Linked DNA regions of Arabidopsis thaliana. The protein of the gene in region 2 binds, or shares a complex with, the protein of the main gene of each other region. Each region holds a gene or a part of one and is shown on either strand. Other genes may lie near its edges. A codon is read from its position in the direction of its gene.

The links.
Region 1: the proteins of AT2G31810 (region 2) and CSR1 are in contact, whole or in part, in a cryo-EM structure (PDB 6U9H), measured with the Arabidopsis thaliana proteins. Residues at the interface, in NP_850172.1 of Arabidopsis thaliana: Asp95 (codon at 4,663), Glu96 (codon at 4,660), Asn101 (codon at 4,645), Arg102 (codon at 4,642), Arg109 (codon at 4,621), Arg110 (codon at 4,618), Tyr112 (codon at 4,612), Arg137 (codon at 4,537), Gln141 (codon at 4,525), Glu144 (codon at 4,516), Gln145 (codon at 4,513), Gln147 (codon at 4,507), Lys148 (codon at 4,504), Leu149 (codon at 4,501), Val150 (codon at 4,498), Val152 (codon at 4,492), Leu153 (codon at 4,489); in NP_190425.1 of Arabidopsis thaliana: Arg216 (codon at 2,429), Ser217 (codon at 2,432), Lys220 (codon at 2,441), His221 (codon at 2,444), Asn222 (codon at 2,447), Tyr223 (codon at 2,450), Arg233 (codon at 2,480), Leu241 (codon at 2,504), Arg246 (codon at 2,519), Arg272 (codon at 2,597), Leu273 (codon at 2,600), Pro274 (codon at 2,603), Gly275 (codon at 2,606), Tyr276 (codon at 2,609), Arg279 (codon at 2,618), Asp397 (codon at 2,972), Ser398 (codon at 2,975), Ala399 (codon at 2,978), Glu400 (codon at 2,981), Gly402 (codon at 2,987), Lys403 (codon at 2,990), Asn404 (codon at 2,993), Lys405 (codon at 2,996), Thr406 (codon at 2,999).

Annotation. Positions count from the first base shown.
Region 1 is NC_003074.8:18,000,551-18,005,325, reverse strand, and holds CSR1 (chlorsulfuron/imidazolinone resistant 1), read left to right. Parts: upstream 1-1,576; 5' UTR 1,577-1,783; coding exon 1,784-3,796; 3' UTR 3,797-4,043; downstream 4,044-4,775. Other genes in the region: AT3G48570 (secE/sec61-gamma protein transport protein), read left to right, coding at 414-507, 607-722. UniProt on the Arabidopsis thaliana protein: Catalyzes the formation of acetolactate from pyruvate, the first step in valine and isoleucine biosynthesis.
Region 2 is NC_003071.7:13,522,108-13,529,292, reverse strand, and holds AT2G31810 (ACT domain-containing small subunit of acetolactate synthase protein), read right to left. Parts: upstream 5,246-7,185; 5' UTR 5,023-5,245; coding exon 4,775-5,022; intron 4,698-4,774; coding exon 4,484-4,697; intron 4,329-4,483; coding exon 4,245-4,328; intron 4,120-4,244; coding exon 4,051-4,119; intron 3,543-4,050; coding exon 3,459-3,542; intron 3,293-3,458; coding exon 3,140-3,292; intron 2,871-3,139; coding exon 2,784-2,870; intron 2,498-2,783; coding exon 2,393-2,497; coding exon of another isoform or gene 2,388-2,392; intron 2,312-2,387; coding exon 2,189-2,311; intron 1,892-2,188; coding exon 1,739-1,891; intron 1,496-1,738; coding exon 1,430-1,495; intron 1,137-1,429; coding exon 1,047-1,136; 3' UTR 581-1,046; downstream 1-580. Other genes in the region: AT2G31800 (Integrin-linked protein kinase family), read left to right, coding at 5,647-6,075, 6,162-6,236, 6,323-6,427, 6,523-6,608, 6,919-7,039, 7,140-7,185.

The DNA.
Region 1 (4,775 bases), on a different chromosome or scaffold from region 2:
AAATTTTTAGCAAAAAAAAACAAAAAAAAACAAGGAGTCTTGTCTTCGTTCTCAAATTTCAGAGCTCTTGCACTTTTCAAGAGTTTTACTTTGATGAGTGAGACATTTGTCTTTTTAGTGTTTATTTTCTAAACTTAAAATAGTAGCATCAACATCACTCAATTATAATTCTTAAGATGTTGTAGAAAAATATTTTATAGATGGAAAGTAATCGATATTAAGACAAATAAGAAACCAAACCGGACTTTGTGTTCAGACCGAATCAAATCTGAATTGGAGAAATTATGGTGGAGGCGAAAGTCAACGGAACTAAAGTATAAAACCAAATGTCAAAAATAAAACCCAATTTTCATCCTTAAACGAACCTGCTGAAACCCTAATTTCGATTACCAATTCCGATCTAAAAAGAAGTCATGGAAGCCATTGATTCCGCAATCGATCCTCTCAGAGATTTCGCTAAGAGCAGTGTTCGTCTCGTCCAGCGCTGTCACAAACCCGATCGCAAGGGTAACGCCTTTTCTCAAAAAAATCTCATTTCCGATTTTTGATCTGTAGATTAGGGTTTTCTGAAATTTTGATATCATTTGTAATTGAATTGGTTATCAGAATTCACGAAAGTAGCTGTGCGTACGGCGATTGGATTTGTGGTGATGGGATTCGTTGGATTCTTCGTGAAGCTCGTTTTCATCCCAATCAACAACATCATCGTTGGATCTTCTTAGTGTAGTACTTTCTTTACGAGGTAATTGATCTCGCATTATATATCTACATTTTGGTTATGTTACTTGACATATAGTCATTGATTCAATAGTTCTGTTAATTCCTTTAAAGATCATTTTGACTAGACCACATTCTTGGTTCATTCCTCAATAATTTGTAATCATATTGGTGGATATAGAAGTAGATTGGTTATAGATCAGATAGTGGAAGACTTTAGGATGAATTTCAGCTAGTTTTTTTTTTTGGCTTATTGTCTCAAAAGATTAGTGCTTTGCTGTCTCCATTGCTTCTGCTATCGACACGCTTCTGTCTCCTTGTATCTTTATTATATCTATTCGTCCCATGAGTTTTGTTTGTTCTGTATTCGTTCGCTCTGGTGTCATGGATGGAGTCTCTGTTCCATGTTTCTGTAATGCATGTTGGGTTGTTTCATGCAAGAAATGCTGAGATAAACACTCATTTGTGAAAGTTTCTAAACTCTGAATCGCGCTACAGGCAATGCTCCGAGGAGTAGGAGGAGAAGAACGAACCAAACGACATTATCAGCCCTTTGAGGAAGCTCTTAGTTTTGTTATTGTTTTTGTAGCCAAATTCTCCATTCTTATTCCATTTTCACTTATCTCTTGTTCCTTATAGACCTTATAAGTTTTTTATTCATGTATACAAATTATATTGTCATCAAGAAGTATCTTTAAAATCTAAATCTCAAATCACCAGGACTATGTTTTTGTCCAATTCGTGGAACCAACTTGCAGCTTGTATCCATTCTCTTAACCAATAAAAAAAGAAAGAAAGATCAATTTGATAAATTTCTCAGCCACAAATTCTACATTTAGGTTTTAGCATATCGAAGGCTCAATCACAAATACAATAGATAGACTAGAGATTCCAGCGTCACGTGAGTTTTATCTATAAATAAAGGACCAAAAATCAAATCCCGAGGGCATTTTCGTAATCCAACATAAAACCCTTAAACTTCAAGTCTCATTTTTAAACAAATCATGTTCACAAGTCTCTTCTTCTTCTCTGTTTCTCTATCTCTTGCTCATCTTTCTCCTGAACCATGGCGGCGGCAACAACAACAACAACAACATCTTCTTCGATCTCCTTCTCCACCAAACCATCTCCTTCCTCCTCCAAATCACCATTACCAATCTCCAGATTCTCCCTCCCATTCTCCCTAAACCCCAACAAATCATCCTCCTCCTCCCGCCGCCGCGGTATCAAATCCAGCTCTCCCTCCTCCATCTCCGCCGTGCTCAACACAACCACCAATGTCACAACCACTCCCTCTCCAACCAAACCTACCAAACCCGAAACATTCATCTCCCGATTCGCTCCAGATCAACCCCGCAAAGGCGCTGATATCCTCGTCGAAGCTTTAGAACGTCAAGGCGTAGAAACCGTATTCGCTTACCCTGGAGGTGCATCAATGGAGATTCACCAAGCCTTAACCCGCTCTTCCTCAATCCGTAACGTCCTTCCTCGTCACGAACAAGGAGGTGTATTCGCAGCAGAAGGATACGCTCGATCCTCAGGTAAACCAGGTATCTGTATAGCCACTTCAGGTCCCGGAGCTACAAATCTCGTTAGCGGATTAGCCGATGCGTTGTTAGATAGTGTTCCTCTTGTAGCAATCACAGGACAAGTCCCTCGTCGTATGATTGGTACAGATGCGTTTCAAGAGACTCCGATTGTTGAGGTAACGCGTTCGATTACGAAGCATAACTATCTTGTGATGGATGTTGAAGATATCCCTAGGATTATTGAGGAAGCTTTCTTTTTAGCTACTTCTGGTAGACCTGGACCTGTTTTGGTTGATGTTCCTAAAGATATTCAACAACAGCTTGCGATTCCTAATTGGGAACAGGCTATGAGATTACCTGGTTATATGTCTAGGATGCCTAAACCTCCGGAAGATTCTCATTTGGAGCAGATTGTTAGGTTGATTTCTGAGTCTAAGAAGCCTGTGTTGTATGTTGGTGGTGGTTGTTTGAATTCTAGCGATGAATTGGGTAGGTTTGTTGAGCTTACGGGGATCCCTGTTGCGAGTACGTTGATGGGGCTGGGATCTTATCCTTGTGATGATGAGTTGTCGTTACATATGCTTGGAATGCATGGGACTGTGTATGCAAATTACGCTGTGGAGCATAGTGATTTGTTGTTGGCGTTTGGGGTAAGGTTTGATGATCGTGTCACGGGTAAGCTTGAGGCTTTTGCTAGTAGGGCTAAGATTGTTCATATTGATATTGACTCGGCTGAGATTGGGAAGAATAAGACTCCTCATGTGTCTGTGTGTGGTGATGTTAAGCTGGCTTTGCAAGGGATGAATAAGGTTCTTGAGAACCGAGCGGAGGAGCTTAAGCTTGATTTTGGAGTTTGGAGGAATGAGTTGAACGTACAGAAACAGAAGTTTCCGTTGAGCTTTAAGACGTTTGGGGAAGCTATTCCTCCACAGTATGCGATTAAGGTCCTTGATGAGTTGACTGATGGAAAAGCCATAATAAGTACTGGTGTCGGGCAACATCAAATGTGGGCGGCGCAGTTCTACAATTACAAGAAACCAAGGCAGTGGCTATCATCAGGAGGCCTTGGAGCTATGGGATTTGGACTTCCTGCTGCGATTGGAGCGTCTGTTGCTAACCCTGATGCGATAGTTGTGGATATTGACGGAGATGGAAGCTTTATAATGAATGTGCAAGAGCTAGCCACTATTCGTGTAGAGAATCTTCCAGTGAAGGTACTTTTATTAAACAACCAGCATCTTGGCATGGTTATGCAATGGGAAGATCGGTTCTACAAAGCTAACCGAGCTCACACATTTCTCGGGGATCCGGCTCAGGAGGACGAGATATTCCCGAACATGTTGCTGTTTGCAGCAGCTTGCGGGATTCCAGCGGCGAGGGTGACAAAGAAAGCAGATCTCCGAGAAGCTATTCAGACAATGCTGGATACACCAGGACCTTACCTGTTGGATGTGATTTGTCCGCACCAAGAACATGTGTTGCCGATGATCCCGAGTGGTGGCACTTTCAACGATGTCATAACGGAAGGAGATGGCCGGATTAAATACTGAGAGATGAAACCGGTGATTATCAGAACCTTTTATGGTCTTTGTATGCATATGGTAAAAAAACTTAGTTTGCAATTTCCTGTTTGTTTTGGTAATTTGAGTTTCTTTTAGTTGTTGATCTGCCTGCTTTTTGGTTTACGTCAGACTACTACTGCTGTTGTTGTTTGGTTTCCTTTCTTTCATTTTATAAATAAATAATCCGGTTCGGTTTACTCCTTGTGACTGGCTCAGTTTGGTTATTGCGAAATGCGAATGGTAAATTGAGTAATTGAAATTCGTTATTAGGGTTCTAAGCTGTTTTAACAGTCACTGGGTTAATATCTCTCGAATCTTGCATGGAAAATGCTCTTACCATTGGTTTTTAATTGAAATGTGCTCATATGGGCCGTGGTTTCCAAATTAAATAAAACTACGATGTCATCGAGAAGTAAAATCAACTGTGTCCACATTATCAGTTTTGTGTATACGATGAAATAGGGTAATTCAAAATCTAGCTTGATATGCCTTTTGGTTCATTTTAACCTTCTGTAAACATTTTTTCAGATTTTGAACAAGTAAATCCAAAAAAAAAAAAAAAAAAATCTCAACTCAACACTAAATTATTTTAATGTATAAAAGATGCTTAAAACATTTGGCTTAAAAGAAAGAAGCTAAAAACATAGAGAACTCTTGTAAATTGAAGTATGAAAATATACTGAATTGGGTATTATATGAATTTTTCTGATTTAGGATTCACATGATCCAAAAAGGAAATCCAGAAGCACTAATCAGACATTGGAAGTAGGAATATTTCAAAAAGTTTTTTTTTTTTAAGTAAGTGACAAAAGCTTTTAAAAAATAGAAAAGAAACTAGTATTAAAGTTGTAAATTTAATAAACAAAAGAAATTTTTTATATTTTTTCATTTCTTTTTCCAGCATGAGGTTATGATGGCAGGATGTGGATTTCATTTTTTTCCTTTTGATAGCCTTTTAATTGATCTA
Region 2 (7,185 bases):
AACAATTTGTTTGACCGGATTTTCTTAGCTTAGTAATATGATCATATTACAAAATACGGAAAAGTGTTGTAAAAAATTCTCAAAAGTTAACTCTAGCTTTTTATAGCTGGAGAGACAAAATTCTACACTAACTACAAAATACAGTTATATCTTAGTACAAAATTACGGTTATAAACTGTGGTTAAATTGAGAACTGTCTTAGTACAAAATAAATTAAGAAACAAGGAGATTACAAAATTATGATTCAATGAATAATTTATATCTTCCGCCGATAAAGCATAAATAAATTGATCGATCCATTCATAGTGCCCGAAAATTTTGTAGTCACTACAGACAAATTAAAATAAACGAGTAAAGCATAAAAAGCACATGGTCGGCTCTATAATTGCAATTCTCAAACTTTTTCTTTTACATATGCATATCGAAGAGAAACACAACTTTTTCTTTCCAAAAGTGTATTTTTCCAAATCTAAGTTTCCCCGATTCTAAATACAGAATAATCATGAAAATGGTTAGATTTTTTGAAACTTGAAAGTATATTCTTAGAGAAGTGACATTTATTGAAAAGGTTAAGAGATGATGATATGAGTCGTATGGATCTTATTTGGACTCACAATTATTGAATTACTTTTGTCAGGAGTAATCGTTATTGAAGTTACCAATGTAAGAATCGAATTTGTAGAAGAGGAGTCATTTTTAGGTACACGTCCGGGTCAGTCAACGCTTACTTAGTTTGACTTTTGACTCTCTAGACTATAACATTTACAAAGTCCATTTGTGTTTCCTCTTTTAGCCATCTCATAATAATAACTTGGGAAATATTGGGAAAATAAGACGAACGAATATTAATAATCCTAACAACTTTTCTTATCTCAAAAAGAAAAGAATCGAAATGAAGCCAAAATCAGCTAATTGTTTCATAAACAAAGTCACAAACATATATCTACGCAGTCTCTCTGTCTGTCTTTGAGTTGGTTCATAGACTGTGTAATGAAACTTTTACCTTCAAAAGTTTCTGATGTTCGATGGATGCACTCTGCAACGGTTTAGCCTGTTAAAGGAAAGGAGTATCCACGAAGGTACTTGGAGTCCACTCCCGATTCACGAGCCAATGCCACACGACCGGTTCTTGCAACCTGTGATTGATTGTTCATAATAAGCGTCAACACGATGCATAATCTGAAAGTAGTCATGGCTTGTCAAGCTTATTCTTGTTCTACACACAACCAGAAGAAGATTCATGTAACTAGGTCCAGCTTTGGTTATTGATTTTACCAGAGAGTTAGATTTCACTACTCTGTTTCTAAGTCGTAAAGACTACAACTAAATTTTGGGACTTTATCCGAACAATTGGAGTATCATTATAAGAAATTAAGAATTCACGGGGTTATGCATTCACTAAGAGATGAAAGTAGATTGCGAAACAAACCTCACATATACCATAGGGCTCCAATAACCTTTGCAGTGCAACCATCTTGTCTAGATCCCCAGTAAGCTATACCCACAGCCAACAAATTTCAGCACAAAATCCAAAACACAAAAGCAAAAAAATAGAGATTAAGATGGAAAATCCAAGTCAGCTTCATATATTTTTTTCAAACGGAACTCTGATTATGTCAAACAAGTTGAAGACCTATGGAAAGACGTGAAACTTTGAAGATCTCCAATTGAAAGGATTTCTCATCTGAGATGCAATAACAGCTACATAAAAATCCCATTTATGAGAAATGTATTTTACCTGCAAAGTAATTGTGTGATCAGATACGTCAACAGCTTTAGCCCTGAAAATACTAGCAATGTCCAGGACATCTCTTCTAGCAGCAGCGTTCACGGCAATCTTAATCAGCATCAGTTCTCTTTCAGAAAATGGCAAATGAGTAAGATCATGGACCTGCAGAAAATCCTCACAAAGTTAATAACAGCTTGGAAAGTTGCGGCAAATCATGTTCAGAATTATTTTCATCAAGCCTGTACAGTTTGACTTTCTGGAACAAGAGGTCTCATTCGAGTAAACAGACAAGACCAGGAAATGATATAGGAAAGTCCAGAAAGATTTAGCAGAAACTCTTCCTCTAATCTACGTTTTAAAAAAAGCCAAAAGGTCTAAGACAGCAAAGGAATGATAGGGCCATCAAGACATTCAAACTGTTAAATATATAAGAAAGACAGTAGCTTTTGGTAATCCCACCTCATGCACATCTACGAGTTTGTAAAGTTGCTGCACCAATTTGCTGACCGATTCATCTGTTGCAGGTATAACTGTTGTAATGCGTGAAATGCCCTTGGTTTCAGCATGTCCTACGGCCAAGCTCTAAAAGAAAGGAGATCTTTCAGTGTGTCAGTAAACCTAAGCACACTGTGTGTGCGTGTATGAGAGAGATAAGGACTATGCCTGGATATTGTATCCCCTTCGAGCGAAAACACCAGTCACAATATTAAGAACTCCTGGAATATCATTTACAAGCAATGATAGAGTATGCGACCGTAGTCCACTCGTCTGAAAGATCAAAAAAGAATAACTGTGATAAATAAAACGAAATAGCTTAAAGAAAACCCCAACTCTTTCAATGTCTGCTTTGTAAGTAAATACATACAGTCTCCAAATCTAACACTCAATTGATTTATCATTTATGTAACTATATTAACAGAATTGATTATGCCAGACGGCTTGAATGGAAAAACAAGTGTAACTCGTGTAATGCAAACCACAATCTGAATTTTTCATATTGCTTTTTAGCAAATTCATGGCACGAAGTTAGATATATAGCAAAGAACTCTCTTACATCTTCGTCAGTGAGAAGTCCCCAGTGAGCGTCGAGAATACGATGTACCTTGGGGTCAAAAAATGGCTCAACGGGATAAACATCTCCCTACATTTAAAAAGATAAGATAACTTTTAAAAATTAGCAAACTCGGAAATCCTTCAGTGCAGCCAGGGAGAAAAACAAAAAAGGGCATGCTTCAAATGTTGATTCCAGGCAGCCACCACATAGAGGGAAAAAAACACAGGCATCTATAGTTCTGTTTAACTTTATCAAATAGCCAAACCTACTATAATTTATGCAACCAAATTTTTTGAAAGGAAAGTGAGGAACTTCAAGCTGAAGTTAAACAATCTAAGGAGCAGAGAAGCACACACCCCTGCTGATGTTTCCTTTTGAGGGACAATGGCTCCTTTTTTGCTACTTCGAAGAACACTAACAGGCGCTTGCTCCTTGAGATCTGGATAGGATGCTGCTGAAAATCGCCAAAATGGAGCAGTTGCACCCATCTTTTCCCTTCTCAGTGCTATCTGTTATCCAAAAATGTCATTCCATTTTCCCTAAATTAGTGAAAGTCCCTGAGATCTATGCCTTTGTGTCCACTCAAAGATGTAACTACTACATACATACATTAGATAGCACAAACTAGATGATATTCAAAAGCCATAAAATCTAGTAATTCCAAACATACACTACCTTTCCTGTCCTTACAATCTCTCTGATCTGAAACTTTTTCAAATTTCTTTCTACAGCAATCATTTTTCCAGGATCTCCAGTTACCTGCAAAATAGCTTAAAAATGATTACTAAAGAGCTAAAATAGGTAAATCAGAGACACCCTTTTTTTTACTCCACTTTCTCATAATCAAGGTAAAAAGAACAATATATTTAAGGTTATGCTTCTCTAACTTTCAAAAGTGAACACTGAGCATTCCCACAGAAATTTGCACAGGCAATACAACTCAGAATACAGATTATAAGCATAGGGTAATCAAAGGTAGCACACTGTTGAATAACTTTCTCGTTATATTAAATTCAAGAAGTTGCACCAAAAGTTTCAAATAAACTTTAATACACATCCTATAATAGAGTCCTGCATGTGGATCATCATCAGTTTCAAAAGGCAACGAAAATCCAACTAATAGATATAAAAGTTAAAATGATACCCTCCATAATATTTCTGATGTCTTCCAACGATTAGTAAGATGTTCAAACAGAAGTCTGAAACCCACAGGCTACAGTGCGAAACAAATATCAAGACCAACACAAATCATAATAAGTAGATGTACCTCGATAGTCAATGCATGTTCCGCTATATCTACAACTCTTGCTCTGAATGTGTCAACTAGCCACATGATCTGTGAATTCATTAAAACAGAAGCTTAATCAAATTTAGAGAGAAAACTAACACCACCTCTGCCCTAAATCAGAAGCAACCAGCAAGTACAGTAAACTCTAATTTCCCATAGGCAAGGAATAGTACCTCTGCCCTGGATTCTGGATGTGCATTCACTTTTACAAGCATCAGCTCACGCTCCACTTGCGGCTCACTTGAGATATCTTCAACCTAATTCATGTCCAAGTCAATGAAGAGAATGGAAAAGGAAATCGCAAATGTAATCTTCAAATAATGAATAAGCAAATTGGCTGATGCGTAAAGTTGGTGCGAATGAAACTATAGTCATGCAGAAACTAATAAGTGCGATCTAACAAAAGAACAACCTTTAGAACATTAACGAGCTTCTGGAGTTGCTCGATGACCTGCTGAAGTACCCTTTCAGTTCCACAGACAACTATGGTGAATAGAGCCTTGTCTCTGTTCAGACCAACAGCAAGACTCTCAATATTGTATCCTCTCCTTGCAAACACTCCTGCAATCCTATTAATCATTCCGCTTTCGTCTCCAACAAATACTGAAATTGTGTGCTTCCTCACCCTGATTTTAATGCACAAAGAATCAATCAAAGCAAAGGCCAAAAGGAAACGACTTTAAGCAAATATTATTCACAGTACTTCGATTTTGGAGTCGCAGATGAAGCTTCGGAGAAAGACGCATCAGAGATCTTCCCATCGACGCTTCTAACGAATCCTTCCATTCTCTTACCCATTTCATCGCCACGGTGCGAAGATATACCGGAGAGATATGAAATCTTCGCCGGGAACGATACACGCGTCGAGGATACAAGAGCAGGAGAAGAATCGGAACATGCCGATCTCAAGCAGCGAATAGATGGTGAAGAACTTACAGAAATGGCCGCCATTGACGAGACGAAGCCGAAGGTTTTTTGCTACTGAAGAAGACTGACGACGACGAAACGGCAAGTGAAAAAGAACGTATATATGTTGGTTAGACCGGTCAAACCGTCCGGTCCGGTTCGGTTGTTGACGACCTTAGAAATCAATGGCTTTAAGAAAAGCCCAAAAGGCTTCGAGTAGATAAGACCAACACGTCAGCTCCACGTATAACAACCTTTTCGAGTCAACTATTTTCCTAATTTTGCTAAAAAGTATCTTGGGTTCGTCGGAACTAATTGTAATTATGAGAAGTTTAGGGTAAAATTCATAATTTAGGAAAAGAAAATGATTTTAAATCCGGTAAAGCCACCGAAAAAAGTGGACAATCAAGAAGAGTCCATATTTACGCGGGACTCGCCAAATAATGATTGAAAGGAAAAGTCAAATCAAAGTCAATCGGAAACAGACGTCGCCAATAATATCTTCACCCGTCAAATTAAAATTAATTATTTCTCGATAAGCAACGCGCTAGAGACGGATCTCACATAATCACCAGATCAATTTTCTCGAGAAAAAGAAAATGTGATTATCCATTCGATTTTTTCGCAGAAGAAGACGAAAGAGAGAAGAAGAGAAAGAGATTTGAAATCATGGCGAATGTAGTGGGACAGCTAAAACGAGGAATCTCGAGACAATTCTCAACTGGATCGCTTCGTCGTACGCTTAGTCGTCAATTCACGCGTCAAGCTTCACATGATCCTCGCCGGAACAATATGCGATTTAGTTTTGGTCGACAATCGTCTTTAGATCCGATTCGTCGGAGTCCTGATGGTTCTAACGGTCCGCAGCTTGCTGTACCGGATAATCTCGACGCTACTATGCAGCTTCTATTTGTGGCTTGTAGAGGTGATGTTGAAGGTGTTCAGGATCTGCTTGATGAAGGTATTGATGTTAATAGTATCGATCTTGATGGTCGTACGGCTCTTCATATCGCTGCTTGTGAAGGTCATGTCGATGTTGTCAAGCTTCTTCTTACTAGGAAGGCTAATATTGATGCTCGTGATCGTTGGGGAAGCACGGTAATGTGATAAATTTCTATTGTTGTCTCTTATTGGTTAGGTTTTGTGCTTTTGGTTTTGAAATTATGTTTGTGTTGTGTGGATAGGCAGCTGCTGATGCTAAGTATTATGGTAACATGGATGTTTTCAACATTTTGAAAGCCCGTGGAGCTAAAGTTCCGGTATGTTGCTGCATTTTTCATTGATTCAAGCTCTGTTCTTTTCATATCTTAATATGTTTATAGTTACATTTTCTTCTTGGTTTTAGAAAACCAAAAGGACACCCATGGTTGTGGCGAATCCTCGTGAAGTTCCTGAGTACGAGTTAAATCCGCAGGAACTTCAAGTTCGGAAAGCTGATGGTATCTCAAAGGCAAGATCTCTCTTTGCTTTACTTTCCTGTAATAATGTCTTAGTTTCCATTTATAGATTTTTAACAAGATACTACATCACTTTTCCACTTGCCAGGGAATATATCAAGTGGCTAAATGGAATGGGACTAAGGTTTCTGTAAAGATACTTGATAAGGATCTCTACAAGGATTCTGACACTATGTAAGATTACTCTTCTCTTCAGTGAGTAATATGTCTATGTTAGCTAACAGGTCAAGAAGGAGTTTGAATTTCTTCTTGAGTGAAGCTATAGATCGTTGAAATCATCTTTGTTATGTTCATAGTGATGATGATATGAGCTGTAACATTATTCAATCATAGTTCTTATAGAATCTTCTATGTTGGAATTGTGCATTTCCAGTAATATTTTCTGGAATCCACTTCATTCCCTCTGTGTTAATCCTTGTTTTTCTTTTCATATATTACGTTTGTTCTGCAATCTTCTCATCTGACTTTTATTATGTACCCACAGAAATGCCTTCAAACACGAACTTACTTTATTCGAGAAGGTACGTCATCCTAATGTTGTGCAATTTGTTGGAGCTGTTACTCAAAATGTCCCCATGATGATTGTGTCCGAGTATCATCCTAAAGTAAGCTTCTCCCTCTTTTTACACCTTAAAAGATTTTTCCCTCATTAAGCAATATTTGGATGGTAGGAACTAATGTTGTCCACTTGGTGGTAACTTGCAGGGGGACCTTGGGAGCTATCTTCAAAAAAAAGGTCGTCTTTCTCCAG